Oryzias latipes: one gene and its partner. The protein of the gene in region 2 interacts with the protein of the main gene of each other region in a biochemical or structural test. Links are inferred from orthologs where the notes say so. Each region holds a gene or a part of one and is shown on either strand. Other genes may lie near its edges.

Region 1 (10,214 bases), on a different chromosome or scaffold from region 2:
TTTCACGCACACCCTTTCACTCACGGATCAGAGCGGTTCCTGCGCGCCGAGGCGATGTCCTCGCAGCAGTACACCTTCACTTGGAGCTCCTCCTTGTGATCGTCGTAAACCAATGAGTACTGGATGCGGCCCCTCACCTCCACCACCCCGAAATCCCCCGAGCTGAACAGACTCATCATGCTCCCACTGAGCTGTAACACAAACAGCAAAGATCAGCTCCTGCGTCAGTGTCCAGAGCTGAGTCATCTTGCGTCGCCAGACAGTGGATTTGACAAATGTGTGTGCGTGCATGCGCGTTCGTGTGTGTACCGTGTAGCTCGACTGAAGGCTGTTGGTGGAGCTCTTGGTATTCAGGGAGGATGGATCTTGTTCTGTCAGGCTGATGCTCAGAGAGTTTGGGTCCCTGTTGTGACTCAAATCTTCCTGCACTCAAACAAACACACAACTGTACTCACATATGTTCACTCAGAAAAAGCCATTTAATTGAACAAACATATGTAGTCATTTGAGAAATGATAAGATGTACTTTTATTTTTTTCTTTATTTTAAATTGTATGCGTATTATGAATTAATAAAGCACAATGATTCAGAATACTAATTATACAAAACCATAAACAATCTCTCAATTTATATATTTATCAATAAATATATTGTATGCACTTCGTGGCTTTTGGGGAGAAGCAGCTGCTTTAACTGATTCTGCAGAGGTATTTATGTGGTTTAGTGTTTGCTTTCTATTATTTTCTTTTTTCTGGTCCAGCAGATGCTCTCCAATAAACTGATAAAGGTCAGTTGGAGTTAGCCTGAGGTCCAAAGAAAATATTTGGAGTCCCAATCTGCACTTTAGATACACAAATCAATGTTTTTAGTCATGCACATTTCTTTTTGAACTTTAATAAACACTGGATTCATAACACATTAAAATGTGAACAACGTCATAAATTGTAGAAGATTTTTGGCAGCTTTTCTGAGAAACAAAGATAAAATTACAAAGGTAAAAGTAATATCTCCATAATATCACACTCATTTGGACAAAATTTCCAAAAAATTTGACTTGATCTGCAGCTACTCTTGCAGAATCAGAAAACAGTTTCAGATCGCTCCCCTTGCATTTGGAAAAAAACAACGCTCGTGTTTTAATCAGCGTTCTTGCTAATTACAAGTGAGCCTTTGGAGAGCACACCATCAGTTCAACAATGCAGCTTTAGAAAAAGGGAGCTTGCATTTTTCTTTGGGCTTCAGCTCCTTTCAGTGCTGCTTGCAGCTTCATTTTTTTCACCCACCTCTGCAGAAGATGCATAAAGATTTAGATTTCCTTCTTGATCATTTTGGCTGCAAAACCAAATCTGTTTTCAACCTTCTTCTAGGAAGAAAATGTTCCTAAGATATGATTTTATATCTCTTTCCCTCATTGATGTATTTTTTTTTCTAGACAGATTGTTTACGGAGTTCCTCAAACTTTAAGGTTTGGTTATTTCTATCCAGTGAGCTGGGTACATCTGATGAACATGAAACTGAAGCATAATAATGTAACGCATTGAGCGAAAACAGGTTTGAATGAATCCTCCTCTTGCATAATGTCAAATATTTGGTTAGAGCTTGTGGCCCAAGGGTGGCACTCAGAGTAGATGTTTGCCAAACCATTAGTTAAGATCCTGTGTGTGTGTGTGTGTGTGGGGGGGGGGGGGTGTTGGTCTGTGCGTGCGTCGTGATCACCTCGTATTTCCCTGGGTGGCCATTACTTCTCCTTTCATATCCTATTGGCACAGCTACATGTTTATTATGTAAAAAGAGTCGCAAGCAAAGATATCAGGAAAGACACGTTCATACCTTTGGAGTGTGAGGTATTAATACTGCTGTTCTCCTGTAGTTGAAGATCATTGATTGGTGTATTAAGATGGTTGAGTACACTTGAAAGGATGGGAAACAAACACAAGATTTTTCACACACACCTGCATGCCAGGAATTTGATGTCTGGCTGTGTGTGCCGAGTTTCCATGAGGCCTGAAAGAACAGAAGAGAAGCTGAATCAAATTTTCAAATGTCGCATTAGTGGTCTGATTGTGACAGATACCCACCCTTCATCCTGCTCCTTGTCTTTGCAGTCCTTCGGTCTCCCCTTTGCCTCCAGAGAACCGCTGCCAGCAACAGATTCCCGTCTTTCTCCATCAAACAGTTCCTGCAGAGATACATCTGTTGCCATGGCAACAGCCACAGAACCATTGCTGAGGTTTCCCCACAACAGCCGTAACACGGCTCGGCAGGCGAGCGCATTTACTGGAACCTGACCTCTGCTCTTTGTCTTTCTGTGGCGTATGGAGGCCCGGATGAGGTCGCTGCCCGACGTCCAGCTGTTATGGCGCTTGCTGCACTCCTCCTTAAACCAGCGCCCGGACAGCAGCCGCAGAAAAGATGGGTTTGTCCCTGTCTGCTCCAGGATCCTGCAGCATTGAAAGACAAACAGTGGGATTCAGGGTTATTCCAGAATTAGTCAATGTCACGTCATATCTTAATATTTTAGGTGAATAAAAAAGTACCAGACATATTGTAAATGTTATATTTGATATTTGATCTTAGAAATCCACCAATTGACCAAAACTATAGTGATAACTCAGTTTCACAAAACAGTTTCACGAAAAAGCTAAAATAAATGATATTTTAAAATATTTAGCTAAAATCTTACATATATGTTTCTACAGAACTGATCTCATTCTCCTTAAAATGCATTAATGTGTTAATGAAATATTTTTCATATTTGCTTCAAAAGTTTATCTTTAAATTTTAAGGTGAGGATTTTCAAATTTACAGAAGGTAAACAAATATGGAGAAAACATTGGGATTTTTCACATCATTTGTCTTCTGCTGTTTTATCCCTTTTGGGGTCACAGGGCTGCCAGAGTCTATCCTGGCCACTTGTGGGTGAAGGCAGGGGTCACCCTGGGCAGGTTGCCAGTCTGTCGCAGGGTCACAATCACACACACATTCACACCTAGGGACAATTTAGAGTTGACCTATGAAGCATGTTTTTGGACGGTGGTAGGAAGCCAGAGACCCTGGAGAGAACCCATGCATGCACGGGGAGAACATGCAAACTGCACACAGAAAGGTCCCCCATTGATGTTCTGTTTCAGGTCCCAGCTGGGACTTTAACCAGGGGCCTTCTTGCTGTGAGGTAAGAGCGCTAACCACTGCACCACCGTGCAGCCCCTTTTTTCACATCATCAACCATGAAAGAACCAAAAGCTCTTTTACAGTGAACCCGTTCCTCTCTGTAGCGAATACGAAAGTCACCTCTAACTGACCTCACACGGCCCTCGTCACGATTACGCAGCTCCAGGTCGCGCTGCAGGACCTGAAGGATGGAGGTCTTCTCGTCCTCGGTCAGGTGGCTCAGATCGAGAGATGAATTGACTCGTTCCCCCGCCATCCCTAACAGAGGGTTATATATGGTAATATATTGGTCTTAGGTTGCACCAAAGTGGAAAAAATGGATAGGTTTTTAAAAGTTTTGACAGATTTTTTATACCTAAATCAAGGATTCTCAAATGTTCTCCAGGGGGTACTTTAGATCTTTTAAATAAATTAATGGAAAAATTAACATCATAAATGGTCAAACAATATTTTTTTCATTTATGTTTTACCAAAAGATTTTCTACAATTAATATTTTTTCTTTTTAACTTTTTATCTTTTTTAATTTTTTCAGGCATATATTCTCTGTAGAAAAACTTTTGAATTGAAAGTTGCCACGGACAAAATGCATGAGGTAACAGAGAATCCTTTTGTTTCTCTAGCTGTTTTACATACTTCAACGGAAAGGTATTTTATAGATGACGCTTATGTGGTTTTAGGCAAAATGATTATGTCTGACAGAAGACTAAAAAAGCCTGCAAATCCCAGCCTTATTCTAGAAATCACCAAAAAACCACTTAAAAGAATGCATTGCAAGTTTTGAAATCATCTCAATCACTAAGTTATAACAACAGAACAACAGGTATTTTCCAAATGTGATGGAGAAAAATTGCCCTAAAGAAGTCAAAACTTTTAATTTAAACAAATGGCCCTGAATGAACAAAGCTTAAAGGAAGTGTGTCCCATTTTTGTCCAAGAAATGTCCAGAATTTGGGGGTTTCCCTCATTTCTGGGCACATTATGTTCAAATGAGTTCAAAAATAAGTTATTTTAAAAAACAGTACTTATGAGAACGTTATCATATGAAGTAAAAGACAACAACATTCTGAATAGCTAGTGATTTTTTTCCTTCACTTATCTGCACATCGTCCTCTTATCTCCTAGCCAAGAAAATAAACAAGAGCCTTGTCACGTGACTATTTGGAAGCTCCAGCTCCAGCTGGAGGCCAAAACCCACCTAAAAAGCTGTTTGTCACTAAATTTGTGTAGCAAATGTCCAGTAAGAGACCCTGAAACAGACGCATGTGCAAATCAGTTTACTGTTACAGTGAGTAACCACACACACGAATACTTCAGCTTTCCAAAATCAAACAATATTTAAGTATTGTTTTTGACTTACTTGACAGCGGTACAACAACTTAGGAGGGGATTTTTTTTCAAAACATATTTTTAAATATAGATATTTGCAAAGTTTAAAAAATGGGAAAAATTTACAATTAACTTCATGGTCATTTCAGCAAAAAATGAGATTGCAAGACTCAGATGAACCTGCCTGAAAGAGAAAAAGAACACCTGCCGCCCTCACGTTTCTCTCTTAAAAACACGGCTTTTAATCAAGTTATTCTTTTGGAAAACATAAGAAAATGCGCATTTATTACCTTACATGACCGCTTCTCCTAGATCCATTAGAGAGAAGTTTCGTGAAGTGTTCGCGTGAGTTGAGAGAACACGCCCCACAAACAAAAAGGTCGGTCTATGGGAGCCACTAAAAGACACGCACCGTCTTTGCGCGTGCGTACTTGTGGTCACATGTCGCCTCCGGACGAATTCTCACCTTGTTGGAAGTTTTGACTTCAGGCAGAATCCAGCTTCTTATCATTTAAAAGGCACCAAACAAACTCATGTCAACATGAACACTTCATCGAGCATTTGAAGAAATCACGTGATACTTGAATGACACATTTTTCTGAATAACACACACACACACGGATGTTTTTTTTTTTTTTTTTACGAAGAAGGCAGGGTGGAGGTGGGATTTGATTCTATCCACGCCTGCTAAACAAACACCATGTCCTGTACTGTACACACACATACAGTATATCTGCACATGGGAGCGACTCTGCTTGCTTTAAAGGAGGGAGAACTCCCAGTAGCATATTAACCAGTGTGCACTAGAATTTGTGCTTCCCCTTCCTTTCACTCTGCGTTTAGGTGTTTGTGCATCAGTGGGCGGGAGGGGAGCAGAATTCAGCTCTGTCCTTTGTCAACAAACTTGGATGACGGCCACGCTCTGCTCAGCTGGGGAAACGTTTTTGTGTGGGCTTATTCATGCCTGTAGATCCTGGGAGACCAGCCACTGCTGCTCCTCTAGGCCGCCAAGCTCTGTTTGGGTCACGACTCATATTTACAGCCACATTTAAATGTAAGAAGTCTGAGGTGTGTCCGTACTAGAATTCTGATCTCTTCTTTTCCTAGTTTGCTTGAAACCTGTTAGATGTGTTATGGCATTGGCTGCTCCTAATTTAAATGCAAGGGGCTCACATTACATAGTGAAAAGCTGTTTGTTCAAGCAATGGGACGTTAGGAAAATGCAAACTGTTTGGAATGTTTGCCAAAAACAGGATTACACAGCACCATCATTTCTGTATAAAGTTCTAAATCACAGGGTTGAACCTGAAAAATCCAACATAAATATGAGCAATAAAAAACAAAGTATTTCTAAACACCCATGATAAACTAACATATCTGTGGAGCAATTATGAACATCTTTTAACCCTTGTGCTATCTTAGATGACCCCACCCTTAGACATATTGTCCCTACCATGACAAAGGTGGATAAAGGTGGAAAGATTTCATGTAATCCATGGACACCAGTGAGGATCACAAATCATTGAAGAAAAAAGGTTCAACACATTGTCTAGTGGGTCTGGATGACCCAACTCCCAATGTTAAAGGGCCTAGGATAGCACAAGGATTACGAATACAACCCGCACCTATGAGAGGGAACAGCAGCACTGAACAGTGGGAAAATACTCATCCAAAGGTTTTCAGTAAGATGTCAGGAAATAATCATGGTTGAAATCCCCTTGATGGCAAATTAACCCTTGTGCTATCCTAATCCCAAATCTAACCTTTTTTCTTCAATGATTTGTGATCTTCACTGCTGTCCATGGATTACATGAAATCTTTCTACCTTTATCCACCTTTGTCATGGTAGGGAGAACACGGCAATGTAAGGGTGGAGTCATCTAAGATAGCACAAGGGTTAAGCCTTTTGAATGTTGTTTTTGTTCTTTAGCTCCTCTTAATTTGATCCATATTTATAAAGTTAAACATTTTCTTCTTTTTCTTGAGTCATGCAACTTAAAAATTTAAAATATATAGCATGGATTGATGCAGTCACATGTTCAGCTCTTAACAGTAGATGTCTAAATGCTCTAAATAAAGGAGGTTTCCATATGACAATGCTGGTTTTTGACTTTCACTTGGCTGGAGGGACTTTTCCACCCCCTGATTAAATATTTTCAACTTTACATAGCCATGATCATGCAGGGTGTTTTAAACCACAGTAATTTAAATTAAATATCAGAGTATCACCTTTTCACAAAAGGACCCATGATCGCATAAAAGCACGTAAAGAATTTTATTGTTTACATCAAACAGCGAATGCTGTGCATGACAGATGTTCAAGAAGAGACACAGTAGTTACTTAAAATGTTTTAAAACATTTTTAGCCATAAAGTCATTTTTTAGTTAAACTTTGAAACCCAAAGACGAAAAAGGGCAGTCCAGCGTTAACCCTTGTGCTATCTTAGATGACCCGATCCTTACATTGACGTCTTCTCCCTACCAGGACAAAAACATAAAGGTGGAAAGATTTCATGTAATCCATGGACACCAGTGAAGATCACAAATCATTGAAGAAAAAGGTTCAACACATTGTCTAGTGGGTCTAGATGACCCAACACCCAACGTGACAGTGCCTAGGGTAGCACAAGGGTTAAAAAACATCACATGTGTAAAAGTGGTGGCATCATGGTTTGGGCTTGTTTTGCTTCATGCCAGACAAGATCACTTAACAAACTCAATTTTAGCTGGATTGATAAATGACACTGCAGAAACAAAACAAATCAAGTACCAATCAAACTAAACATTGGAGGAAGAAGAAGTGCATGTTTTTTTCCAATGATTACAGAAAAGTAGGGGGAAAAAAACAAATCTAAAAGATATTTTAACAGGATTTTTCACTGCAAAAATTTTAAAGCTTTCCATTTATGATATATTTTTTAAATTTTTTGTCAAATTAATATATTACACATGAAATTAACTTCTATGAGTTAACAGGAGGAATTTCAGAAACACAAAAGGACATTTATTTGAATAAACATCTGAAATATTGCAATGTTTCTCTCAAGCAAAAAGGCTGGAATTATCGATTTTTTTTTCAGGGGAATATTTTAAACCACTTTGTTGTTGGATTTTTGAAGGCAATTCTAAAAAACAAACTCTCATGATTTATGTTTCTATTCTTCAGGGGTCATGCAATCCTATCCTACAGAAGTGATGCCAAAATTATCACCATACCACAGTCTCTGTGTATTTTGTACAAATGCTTACAGGTGTGTGACCGCCGGCAGCATCCTAAGAAACATTTAGAACATCTGCCTATTATATAGGGAGCTAACAGCAGCTAAAAGAGGTGTACAAATCTGGTGGTAACTTGATGAGTCACTGCTCTGCGTCTGCAGTCCTTCATCCTTGTCTGATTGTCCTTTGTGCGTCTCATCTTCACTGGGGCTGCTCTCTGCGCAGAAAGACACAGACAGCAAAAGCACTAAATGGATTTGTGATTAGACTTAATAGACAATCTGAGGTTAAAATGCAAACAAAATTTTTTTTTCTGAGCAGCATGTTGTGTGCCATTGATCATTCTAGCCACCAGAGGCTGCTGGTAGCTGCTGCAGACATGAGAGTTGTGTAACACCTCCATGCTCAAACTCACATTGGATCATAGTTGCTCTGCTCTTTGGATTTGAGGAAGCGCATGGCAAAGAAGCCGCCTGCCTGCAGGCACAGCACAAGTACGATTCCTCCTACGAAGCTGGACATGTCGAACTTAGCCTGGGAGAACTCAGGGGATGAGGTGGTGTCCGAAGCATCACCTTAACAAAAGACAGTTCAGTGGGTTCACACCATGGTTACATAAGTGGATGAGGTGTTAAAGAAAGGATCCACTTTTCTCATACACTTTGCTCAGCTGTTATGGAAATTAACGTTTGATGCGAAACAGAAGGGAGGGAAGGTGGTTGAGGATATAAGTTACCTGCGTCACCTTCGCCACCAGTTGCAACGTTTTCTATAACTGGGTAAACATAAAAATAGGTTAAAACAAAGAAACTTGAATACCCTTTTTTCAATCTGTTTTTTTTGGTTTTGTTGTCTATTTTGATACCTGCACAGAGTTCAGAGACTCTGGTCCAACTACAGTTCATGCCCATGTCAGCTGAATCACCGCCATCAGCCACACATGTACCTGTATCATTACCTGGGATGGGGGGAAAAAAACGCATTTGAGTATGCACCTATGTGGTTTCCTGGTATACAGAACTAAATAATTCAATCATTTGCTACAAATGAGGGGAGCTACAGTTACAGCAGCTGCGATGATTGAATTACTATCAGGGGTAAGCTGTGTGTGGGTCACCATTTGGGCAAAGTCTCCAGACGCAGCCGGTCAGGTTAAGCATGGAGTCTCCCACACACAGGTCACATGAATCTGCTTGAGAACAATCTGTGGGACAAAACTGAAGTCAGTAGGCAGCATTTGGAAATGTATATATTTAACCACCTCACCCTTATTGTAAGACATTTTTCAAGACTGACAAATGTAGTACGGGGCAATATTTTGAGATGACACTCCTGTTCTTTTTTTTTTTTTAGTTTTAAAATCGAGATTTTTTTACATGAAAATGAAGAAAATAGGTGCCATTGCAACAGCAGATGACAAATCTGATTGGCTTTTGTCGAAGTGCAGAAACATGAATCACGATAAAACAGAAAAGTTCTCAGTGTAGAAAAGGAAAAGGGTGTGATAAAAAAAGGAACAATACCTGACTGTGAGCACACAGAGGGAACCACTGTTAGAAGCAGTAAGGCAGAGCACAGGACCCTCAGAGCCAATGGTCGCATCCTGACAATTGCAGAGCCCCAGCACCTGCAAAGGACACCTGGAAACTTCTTAGAACAGGAAATCAGTTAATAAGAGGGTTTAAAAATTCCAAAAATACCCAGGTATTCAAAAAGTTTGCCAGTGGAGATGTGGGTGCCTTCAAGAAAAGGAGCAAAGAAGAGACTCAGACCGAAGATCTCTGTAACACGAGCAAGACCAAACTGGGTTCCCTGGCAACCAACTAGTCAAACTCAACCCTCCTGAAACACACACCGGTTTAAAGAGAAGGACACCTGTTCACCTCAGCATGCAGTGCATCCACACACACAGACACACACACACACACACACACACACACTTGCATTTATGTTCCCACAAACTCCATAAACACCAGAAGCCAAAAAGGAGATACTTTCTAATGGTCACGTGATTACTACCAGATATTTACTCAACACCCCACGTTTTACAAAAAATTTGGAAGAATTTTTTAAATGAACCTTGTAAGAGATTTTTCACTATATCAACTACAGTCAGGACCATAAATATTTGGACAGACACATTATTTCTAATTCAGTTTCTGTACATAACCACAGTGAATTTTAAATGAAACAACTCAGATGCCATTGAAGTGCAGACTTTCAGCTTTTATTCCATGGGTTGAACAAAAAGATTGCATAAAAATGTGAAAAACGAAAGCATTTTTGAAACACAATCCCTTCATTTCATGGGCTTGTAAGTAATTGGACAATTGAATTCCATGCTATTGCAAGGGCAGGTGTGGGCAATTCTCTTGTTATGTCATTATGAGTGAAGCAGATAAAAGGCCTGGAGTTGATTAGAGGACTCGTGCTTGCATTTTGAAGATACTGCTGTGAACAGACAACATGCGGTCAAAGGAGCTCTCCATGCAGGTGA
Region 2 (10,188 bases):
AAAAAGGACTTCTTTAAAATGACAGAGAACAAAAATGTGTGGAAATATTTTGCACAATCATTGCCTGAGGAAACACTAATCCTCTTTTAAATAATATTAATAAACGAATGAAAAAAAACAACACATCTCAGTTTACTGCAACATGCCAAGCTTTACATTCAAACTTTTAGGTATTATGGATTAAGAATGGATTTAAATCTGCCTGAACAAAATGTAAAGCATCACAAGGCTGTGACTAACTCAAGGAAATATGAAACACTTGATGTAACTTTTTGCAATGCTTCAATAACTGCAGGAAAAACCTAAAAAAAGCAGCAAAGCCAAATCACATGGTTGGTGCTGACCAGAGCCAGACAAGCCCTGCATTCCTGTCTCGCCCCCTAACCTTTCATCGAGAACTATAAGCGGATTGGGGTTTCATGCAGAATCCAGATCCATGAAAAATGTGCTGGAAGTCATGGCAGCAAGCTTCACGGCGCCATAAACAGAAAGTTACAACGTGCAAATCCCACAACTGCAAGATTTGCATCTCTGCAGACAAACCTGTTTTGATTCAATAAAGATTAAAAGTTGGATCAAGTTTGGCATCAACAAAGCTCTTCTAACAGGCATTTATCTCCAATGTGATTCACTTCTAGTGTAAAAGCATTTCTAATCATCAGTTTTGAATTTTCCAGATTTTCTTTTAATGTTTTCAAAAACGTTTCATTTGCTCCACTGCACAGCTTTTCTTGCATACAAGGCTAAGTGAGCTCTACAACACATTCAGCCTTAAAAAGTTAAAGGTGTTTTGTTAGTTTAATTTTATATAAATCTGTCACATAGTTCATACTGCATACTTCAGAAGAATCCCATTAAGCCCCCCCCCCCCCCCCTGCCTTCACTTGCAGCGTCTTCATGGCAGAACACACCTGATCCAGGTGATCAGCAGTAAGTAGGGCGAAGACTGCTGGAAAACAAACACTCTGTCCTTTGCAGCCATTGACTGAATGCAGCAAAGTTAGGTCAAACATGGCTCCGCCCACTTCTGGCTGTTCCACGTCCCAAAATATCCCAGCCAAACTACTGAATCTCGACAATTCACTTTGGTTTACAAATTCATGATTCAACTTTTCTTTCAGGATTTGATTTGTCAGTGATCTATTGAACGAATGCTTACATTGATAAAATTGTAAATCAATAAACTAACTGAAAATCTGTATTTGCCAGATAAAAGAAGATTTATGAGTGAATATTGAATTTTCCAATTGAATTTCATCAGCACGTTCATTTTTATAAACCCCATTCCTACCTTAGGCAGTATATTTATTTGTAATAACGTCTAAGCTGTTTCTATTCACAGTATAACCCCCGCAAAGAGGTGAGGTCCCATCTCGACACAAAACTTGACTTTGTTTAGCCGCAATGCAAACCCGTGGAGTTTGCACCAATAACGTTAATACTGCACCACGATGCAATCGCTTACAAGCAAGACATCACCACACAAACGAGTTTCAGTCCTCTTACAGTCAATGTAGGAGTCTGTTATGGGAAAGCTCTGATGTGATGCCAACTACGATGACTAACCCACTCCACAGGACTTTCCTGATGACATGAATCAATTCCTCCCCACTGAACCCAACATGGCTGCCAACAAAACTGAATTGAAGAGCATTTCATGAAATCCCATTTAGAGGTTTGAGACTCATTTCTATTTGTTTAGGATATTTAAAGACTTTTTTTTTTTAAACTAAAACTTCTCCTGTGGATCAACCCAAAAATCTGTTGTCAGGAACAGGAAATGTCACCACAGCTATTTCACATTCAGGTTTATTCCACAACTTAGACATTTTTGCTAAATAAAGCCGGTCAAACTAAAAACAGCACAGTAAATATGTTTTGGAATTAAAAGAAAAAGTTTTATCAATTTGCACTTTGACAATATAACATTGATTCATGACATCCATGAAATCATTTTCTTTTATCCGTTATTTATGGTGTTTTTAGGCAGAAAAAAAAAAGATTTTCTGTTAGTATTTAATTTATTTTTTTAGTTCTTGTAAATGTAGCTCAGTTTTTTTAATAATCTAACAAAAACAAAAAAAGTTTTATTAAAATTGATATAAAGTTCGGGAAAAAATCTGTTTAATTTAATCCTACAGAGTTGGAAACTGAATTAAACCAATTGTTAAACAAAATCAAATCAATTTAGTCATTTGGCAGCAAGACCCATATTATTCATTAAAGCTCCACTCTGTAGAAAATCCTGTTTTGGAGTTTTTAACATGTTCTTATGGCATTTGGAAGACTCATAGCCAAAATTAGGCTCAAACTTAAATTTCTGAGTATTTCTTTATTAAAATCAGGGCTGCCCGATATGAGGAAAACTCGCAATTTGTGATAATAATGATCAATATTTCAATGACGATGTAACTTATGATACATGAAAAAAATAGCATAACATCCAAAAACATCATCTACATTTCACTGCAACAGTTTGTTTTAAATAACAGTCAACATAACTTAAATGATTCTCTAAAATGACCCTCGCCTACTTCAAATTGTTGTGAATCAGGAGCGAATGAAAAAAGGCTGTTTAAAAAAAAAAAACATTTTTGTGATGTAGAAAACACTGGGCGGACCACAAGCTCCCTGCTATGAGCTCTTAGCAACGGGGAGGGGAAGGGGAGCGGAGTTGCTCGGTGCAAACAGTCCCGCCCACAACTCAGAGACAAATTTCTAATGAATTCCAGCGGCTCTGCAGGAAACATGTCCTGAAAAACGACACGTTTTTAGGTTTTGGCTGCAAATGGCAAAATCATAACTAAAAGACCACTGGGCATGCTTTTACAATAGATCAAAAGATGATGGGAGTGGGACTTTAAACTGTTGCATATACTGACAAATGTATAGCATTTTAAAGAAAGCAGTCAAAGAAACAAGAAAAAAGAGAAAACCCTAAAAGTCAGAAAAACAAAAAACAAAAAATAATCCTGTATAAAACAATAGTTGCTGCATGAAGATGAGTTTTGAATGGGATTTATTTTCAGGCAGGAGAACTTTTCACACCTTGTCATTTTAGTGAATAGAAAATTGTCACCTGAAACTAGTATTATGAGTGTAATACCTATTTGAATAACATCACACTGTTAAAATCTAGTTGGTAGTATTGGTAATAAACAGTGAAGCAGCAGACAGAAAAATGGAAATCTCAACAACTTCACGTGAATTAAAGTATCAACATTTGGATCTGATTTGACAGCTTATTGATCAATCTACTAGTTAAACTCAGATCTTCTTTATTGACAGGGTCCAGTACTTCTGCTTAGGTGAAAACACGTCACAACGGCAGCACAGCACAGCAAAACCACACTGTCGGAGGGAAGACTGCCTCAGCATATTCTAGCAGATTATCAATCTAATCAGACGTTTCCTTTGTATGAGACGTGTTCCAAAGGCACCGTGACAAATGAGTTATGAAAAAGAATCTTGCCTCGCTTCATTGTCGTGTCATAACTGAGAAAAATAAACGCTCTACTGACAGAATGAGATCTTTTACAGAGCTGAGCAAAAAACAAAAAGGGAAGTGCAGCCGTTGCTACTTAAGATATGCTTTCCTTTGACAATCATGGCCCAATTTGTGCTACTCCACTGATCAAAGACGTGGCCGACGTGATGCACGTGACATTAGAAAAAAAGGCCATAAATTTGGATATATTATAAGCTGGAAGGGCCCTCAAGACCCTAATTCTTTTCATACATAAACTGCTCTAACCTGAAGCTGGTTCAGTTGAATGAACCTGTACAGCAAATAAACTAGTTTATCTACATACAAAAGTGGCAACAGTCTTGTGCAAGGATCACCTTCTCAGCTATTGAGGAAGTTTGTCGGAGACGGTTTTTTTCTTTAGAAAAACATGGCCAAATGTCTCATGAGTTTCCTGTTAAGGTAACATGTGCTAAGCATGTTAGCTTGTTTAGTTTGCAGCTCGAAAAAAATTTAAAATTATGATTTTTTTTTTTTTTTTACACAAGCAGCTTTCAAGCTAGAAAGACAAAAATGAGCCTATCAATGGGGATTATGAATAACCTGTAGTATATAGAAAGCATTCCTGATATAAAATGGCTAAAATACAGAGGAAAGTGTTAGATAAATTCAGACTGACTGATGTATTTCCGAACAGAAAACGACATCAGCTGATCAGTATGAAAGCGATGATCAATTTAACAGCGGGTTCATCTGATGACTCCTACTTAAATGAATAAAGTGACTGTTCAGTCAAAGGTCAGGAATATTCCATTTTTATTTCCAATGACAAATGGAAGTTCAATAAAATACAACAGATTTGTAAGATGAGAACTCATTTATAGAAAGTGCTTCTCAAAAATTAGAAAGAATCTTTCAACAATCTTAAAAGAATTGCAAAAAGGAAAACGAATTCAGATGCAAAACTAGAATTTAAAATTGAAGTGTTAACATTTTAAAATAGTCACATTCCAAATTTTCTATTGATCTATGGTAAAAGCGTCCCATTGGTCTTTTAATTATGATTATGCCATTTTAAGACATAATCAGAAAACCTGTAATTTTCTAGGACCGTTTCAGCAGACGGCAGTAGTTCACTAGAAGTTTGTCTCTGAGTTTTGGGAACTGTTGGTGCTGAGTCCTGAGTCTGTCCTAGTTTCCCAAAATCCATCTGATTGCATTCTGTCCTGCTAGCTTACAGCCCCTTACACCCCCAACCTAACATTACCTGTGCAACAGGGAGCCATCCAGTTGTAATTAGATACCAGCTTGAACGAGGACAACAAAGACGTACACGGATCCATTTGTCTGCAACTGGATGCATCGGAATGGAGCTTGTGGCTTGCCGTAGGAGCTCCTACGTCACACCTAAAAGCTTTTTCCAATGACATTTTTTCATCTGCTCCTGATTCACAACAATTTGAATAAAATAATACTCAGAAATGCAATTTTAATATTAATTCTCTTAATGTATTATGTCCTCCATCATGAGAAGAATGCCACAAGAATACCAAACCACCATTTGCATCCGAGTGGGTCTTTAAGAAGTGAAAGGTGCTCTTTACTTTTGATATTATGTTGTAGTCCAACAATGTTTACATTTTAAACCCATTAAGTGAGTTATAATGATTGACGGTTCTGGTCTGCCGTGGTTAACTGTTGTTTTAAACCTCTTGGTAACATCCTTTCCATGTTAAGCCATGTTTAAATAAAGATTAGTCAAACTCATGTTATTCTGCCTGCTTCATTTTACAGAGGGAGGGGGCGAGCGCGGCTGCCAGCCCTCCCACCCATGCAAGACGGAACCCACGTAGCAGCCAAGTCACAGATAAATGGAGGAGCCACCGTGGGCGGCCAAGGGAGGGGGGTTCCGGATGTGCACCACCAGCTTATCAAAATACAACGTGACATAATTAACAAGAATGTGAATGTGCTTTTTTGGGGGGAGGGGGTACATTTTTTATTTTTTTTTAAAGGGAGGCACAGAAAAACACGTGAGACAAGAGGCGCTCCAAATCCATTTGCACGCAAAGATGCGGGCCTGAACAGCCAATTATCCCAAACCAATTGGTCCTCAGCTGGTCCTCATGTGGGGGACGCCGGAAACATTTTAGTTAGCCTGCAGTGCGGGTCCTGTCAAACTCTCAAACTTTTTCAGACATGTTGTTCTCAAAATTGGACCGTTTGGTCAAATGACCTCCTGCGTGAAGAGATGTTGGTGGCTTGCAAGGTGTAACGATGGTTTGTCATTTCGCTGCTTGAGAAAATAACGAGAAAAGTGTCCGCTCAGGAGAAACAGGTTCAAGTTTTCCAAATATCAAAGCTCTTCAGTTTCTCAAGGAAGCGCAGAAATACCAGCAAGACCATCAAGTCGAGTAAAAAGTTTCCTGCTAACCTCTGACAGATGCTACGGGCTGATTTCTTGACATTTCCTGAAAGAAAAAGTACTCACCAGCCGCGGGGCGTTGCTGCTCTGCTGTCTGTCGTCAAAAAGAAAACGCTCAACTGTCCGCTTCGGGCTTTATGGAAGCTAAATGACGGAGTTCTTGACTTTCGGCGTCCCTTTCTGGCCCAGCAGAGAACTTGAGAGCAGCCGCATCTACTCGGAGCTCAGACCAACTGCCGCCTGGCCGCGCTGAGAAACAGCGCCTCCCGACGGTACAGGCGGGAACTGCAGCACGTCAAGGATGGCCCACATGGGTCAGTCCATCTGACTGGTTAAAGTTTGATGAATAAATAATACAACCATATTAATTGGTTGGTTTTAAATTCAACAAATAAAATTGTTACGCTGAATAATCTGATATACTGAATGAAAAAAAAACTTATGTAATTTGCAATTTTTTAGTTACCTCTAAGGTTCCTTGATCTCCCTTCTAAAATATTTTAGAAATGTCCATGGTAAAGGAGTACACAAAGAAAATAAATAAATTGATTAGAAATTTCTTATGAATTATGAACTAATTATTTGTTAACAAGTGATTGCTGTTAAACCAATAAATGGTTGTTAGCAAAAGCAAATAAATAAATAAAATTCATAATAATTAATCTTTGCACATGACTTTATTCTTCAACCTTAAATGTTACCCACTGCAATGAACAGGATGATAGCAGTCTACAGAGCAATTTAACACTTGTTAAGCGGTGAAATATTTTTATCTCTGGTTTGGGACATTTAACAATAGCTGTGTTGTTTTATTGAATGCATCAGGTATTCACATCATCTTCCAACGTACCTAATAGAAAACTGGATAGGTATTGATAAAAGCTTAAAATAATGAATGCACAAGCAATCACTCTGGTATACAACCATCGCATTAAAATAGCATTATTTTTTTTCAATACAGTAGAAGAAATCCAGTATTTGTTCCATTGCTAATTTTGTAGGGTTTGCCTACTTTGAAAAAAAATTTATAGTTTTTTGTCATCTTAATGGTAGATTCAGTGTAATAGTAAGAGTTAGAAAAACACAACGAAAATTGAGAAAATAACTTTATATACATTTAACTGTATATTTCTTTATCAATCCAAACAGCTTATCTCTATAATGCCATATTCATTTAATGCTTACATTTTCAAACAATATTAACTCAAATTCTTTAAAATTTACCTTGGATAGAACATTTCAATTCTTCTTTCAAGTTTGGTGTTGGTACAAACATTGCAAGATTTAATAATTACATATCAGTGTTTACAAGTAAAGCTAAAAAAAAAATACTTTGTTTTTGCTTGTTTGCCTAAGTTTTGCTAATTGCTAGTAAGAAAAGACATTAATTCCTCTGCACATAATCTCACATGAACCGGTGATCCTTATCTGACCGTAGAAGTAGGTTAAAGTACGAGGCTTTTATGTTTCATTGTGATGGACTGACGATCTCTGCAAAGTGTGCAGAGGGAGAGGCCATAAGGTATTTACTTAAAGTATGCTCTACACATGTCATGTTGAATTAAGACATTTTTATTCAATATACACACGTTCTCAAAAAGTATCTTATGATGGCCTTTGAGTCCAACACAGGCAGTGTGGCTGAAATAAAGACACAAACATTTGTCTGTTTATTTCTTTATCACGATGAATTACTTCAGTCTGTTTTATTCTGTTTCTTCGGCACATCTGTGTCTTCTTGTCCTGAGATCTTCTGTACAGGCTCAAAATAAGGTTTGTAGATATACAAGCCTCCCGCAACCCCGAGCACAGTGGCCAAAAGCAACTGCGTGAAAGGCAATCTTTGCCTAAACATGATCCTTTTCAGTTAGAAATCCCAATGGAGACACTAGAAGATCCTAAAAACAGAAGCAAAATGATGTAATCAGTACATTTATGCAGACATCATTTCCTGGTGGGTTTTTTTTTTTTTTTTTCTTTTGCATTTGCTTCACAGTGATGAATGTTGCACATCCTTAACATGTTGTAAGTGAAACTTTCACCTCAAACTTACACACCCAAAGCAGTATCTCCACAAACACGAATTTATTATTATTTTTAATCAAATTATTTTTCTAATGTTATGATGCCACATTTTTATTGCATGTCCTCCCGTTAGCTTTAGAGGAAATTATGGTTCTTTCCATTTTGAAATTAAAATAACCAGAATAAAATTCTTTACCTAAGCCTGATGAGTCAATATTAGTGCTTTAGTTTTCCTTGTTTTGTTTTTAAAATAATATAAGTCATGAATGATGAAGCAATGAGACACGTGAAACTTTTGTTTTTATGGTGTTACTTTCAAAATTCAAACCGGAAGTGAGTCCTAACTGGGGGGGAAACTTGACAACCTTGACGTTTTGTGAGTACTTTATGAGACAAAACCGCCATAATGTATTTTTGCACAAAGGTTACAGTCTATAGCATTAGTTAATACGAAATCAAATAAACTGACAGCGCGTCTTTCTGTAAGGCAAATAAACATGAAAACAACAAGCAACCACAACGCACAGCAAGCACACTTACATGAGAGGAGCATTCTTCTTCTGGTTTTTGCTGTGGTACAACACTCTTGAAGGAGCGAAGAGTGCCCTCATGTGGGGAATTAAAAGAACAACTTGAAAAAAGGTGACGTCACACAAATAATGGTTAAGGGTTGCTAAGATCTTAAATATACTTTAACAAAAACTTAAAGTTATTGTCTATTTATGATTAACACATTTGGTAAACCTTATAAATGGACACTCATTATTTTATTATTAAATTATGACACTTGTGGCAAAAGATCTAAAACAAATGAAATTAGGAAATTTAAACAATATCATAAGCTTGAAATGTGTTATTCAAATTTCCAACTGCTTTTCGGATGCTCAATACCAATGTATTCCCATGGTGAAAGAAAAAATGTGTTTAAACAAAAACTTCAAAGTGTTGGACCCAGGCAATCGACTATTGTTGTCTGATAGTACTCCATCTCTAATAGGCGGTTAATTAACTATTAGTTTCAGATTAATAATAATGAAATTCATTATTGGAGCTGTCAAGTCAAAAGTGAACAGAAAAGTCAGACAATGACGAAATTCTTGAAAAAAGGAAAGTCGAATAGATTTTTCCTAATTTTTCCAAATTATGAAAAGTACATTCTTATTGAATGTCAGGAGTACACCTATGTTTAAGAGCTACCTATACAATTTTCAGCCTCAGGGATTTAAGAATAGAGCAGTATAGAATAGAATAGAATAGAATAGAATAGAATAGAATAGAATAGAATAGAATGAAACGTTATTGATCCCACAAAGGGGAAATTACCTTGTTACCATAGCTCTATTTAAAAACAGCAGATAGCTAATAAATAACAGGATTAGGCCTGCACAATATACCTCAAATTTATCGTTATGGCGATATCTCTGCAATATGCATATTGCAAAAGACAGCGAAAAACGCAATAAATCGTAAACCTTAAATGTGTTAATACAACCTCAAGGTAACTTGAAGCATTTAACGAATCAAATAAATCCCTTTATGCATTTGATCAATCACGTTGTTGACCAATTGGATGTAGGTCTGTTATGTTAGATGTTTGTCACCTATGTCGACGAGGATCATTTGGAGTATAATTTTTAAACTGTTGCAATTAAATGGGAATTATGTTTTTGGTTATTTTGTTATTTGTTTATATACCGCAAATTATACCGTTATCGCAATATTAATCTCAAATATCACATATCGCGAGTTTTCCTTATATCATGCAGCCCTAAACAGAATGTAGGGTCTTTAAATACTAAATATTTTTAATATATTCTCTCAGATTCAATTATTTTATTACAAAATATTGAGAACAATCAGTTTCAACAAAAATATTCTTTAAAAACATCCTAATCAAATAGAAATAAAGCTGTGTTGCCATTGACTGTAACCAATCCCGTCCTTTCACTGTCACGCATGCGCACAAGAACTCTGACTTGACAACAAGGCTTCGGATGTGAGCCATCGACGAAATGGACACAGCAGTTGAGTATTAATATTTTAATTAGCCTTTTTGTCAAACCAACGAAGACTTTAATAACTCTTGTCATCGTGACATAAGCTTTATAGCACATGTACTACGTTTTCATCATGCCGGTTAGTCGCCACGCCTATTAGCGCTTTTGTTGAGTTGGGTCCTCCCTTCTTCGACTGTTGCTGACCGGTTAGCAACATTAGCCTAACAGCTATATCATTCCTCGAATGATGTAAACCATCCACAGCGGGGGGAAAT

Evidence for each region. The genes of interacting proteins can lie anywhere in the genome.
Region 1: the proteins of rab27a (region 2) and sytl1 form a complex in vitro, tested with the Homo sapiens proteins (3 studies listed by BioGRID). The link is inferred for Oryzias latipes from reciprocal best matches to the Homo sapiens genes RAB27A and SYTL1.

What each region holds. Positions count from the first base shown.
Region 1 is NC_019869.2:21,770,096-21,780,309, forward strand, and holds the start of sytl1 (synaptotagmin-like protein 1), read right to left. Parts: upstream 4,914-10,214; 5' UTR 4,789-4,913; intron 3,430-4,788; 5' UTR 3,428-3,429; coding exon 3,303-3,427; intron 2,442-3,302; coding exon 2,290-2,441; intron 2,194-2,289; coding exon 2,079-2,193; intron 2,005-2,078; coding exon 1,953-2,004; intron 1,865-1,952; coding exon 1,831-1,864; intron 1,770-1,830; coding exon 1,717-1,769; intron 424-1,716; coding exon 310-423; intron 192-309; coding exon 25-191; intron 1-24. Other genes in the region: cd164l2 (CD164 sialomucin-like 2 protein), read right to left, coding at 7,919-7,934, 8,133-8,292, 8,454-8,492, 8,583-8,675, 8,835-8,921, 9,241-9,319.
Region 2 is NC_019861.2:21,646,670-21,656,857, reverse strand, and holds the start of rab27a (ras-related protein Rab-27A), read right to left. Parts: upstream 6,175-10,188; 5' UTR 5,958-6,174; intron 1-5,957. Other genes in the region: protein PIGBOS1, read right to left, coding at 7,588-7,746; kinesin-like protein KIF3A, read left to right, coding at 9,929-9,940. UniProt on the Homo sapiens protein: Small GTPase which cycles between active GTP-bound and inactive GDP-bound states. In its active state, binds to a variety of effector proteins to regulate homeostasis of late endocytic pathway, including endosomal positioning, maturation and secretion.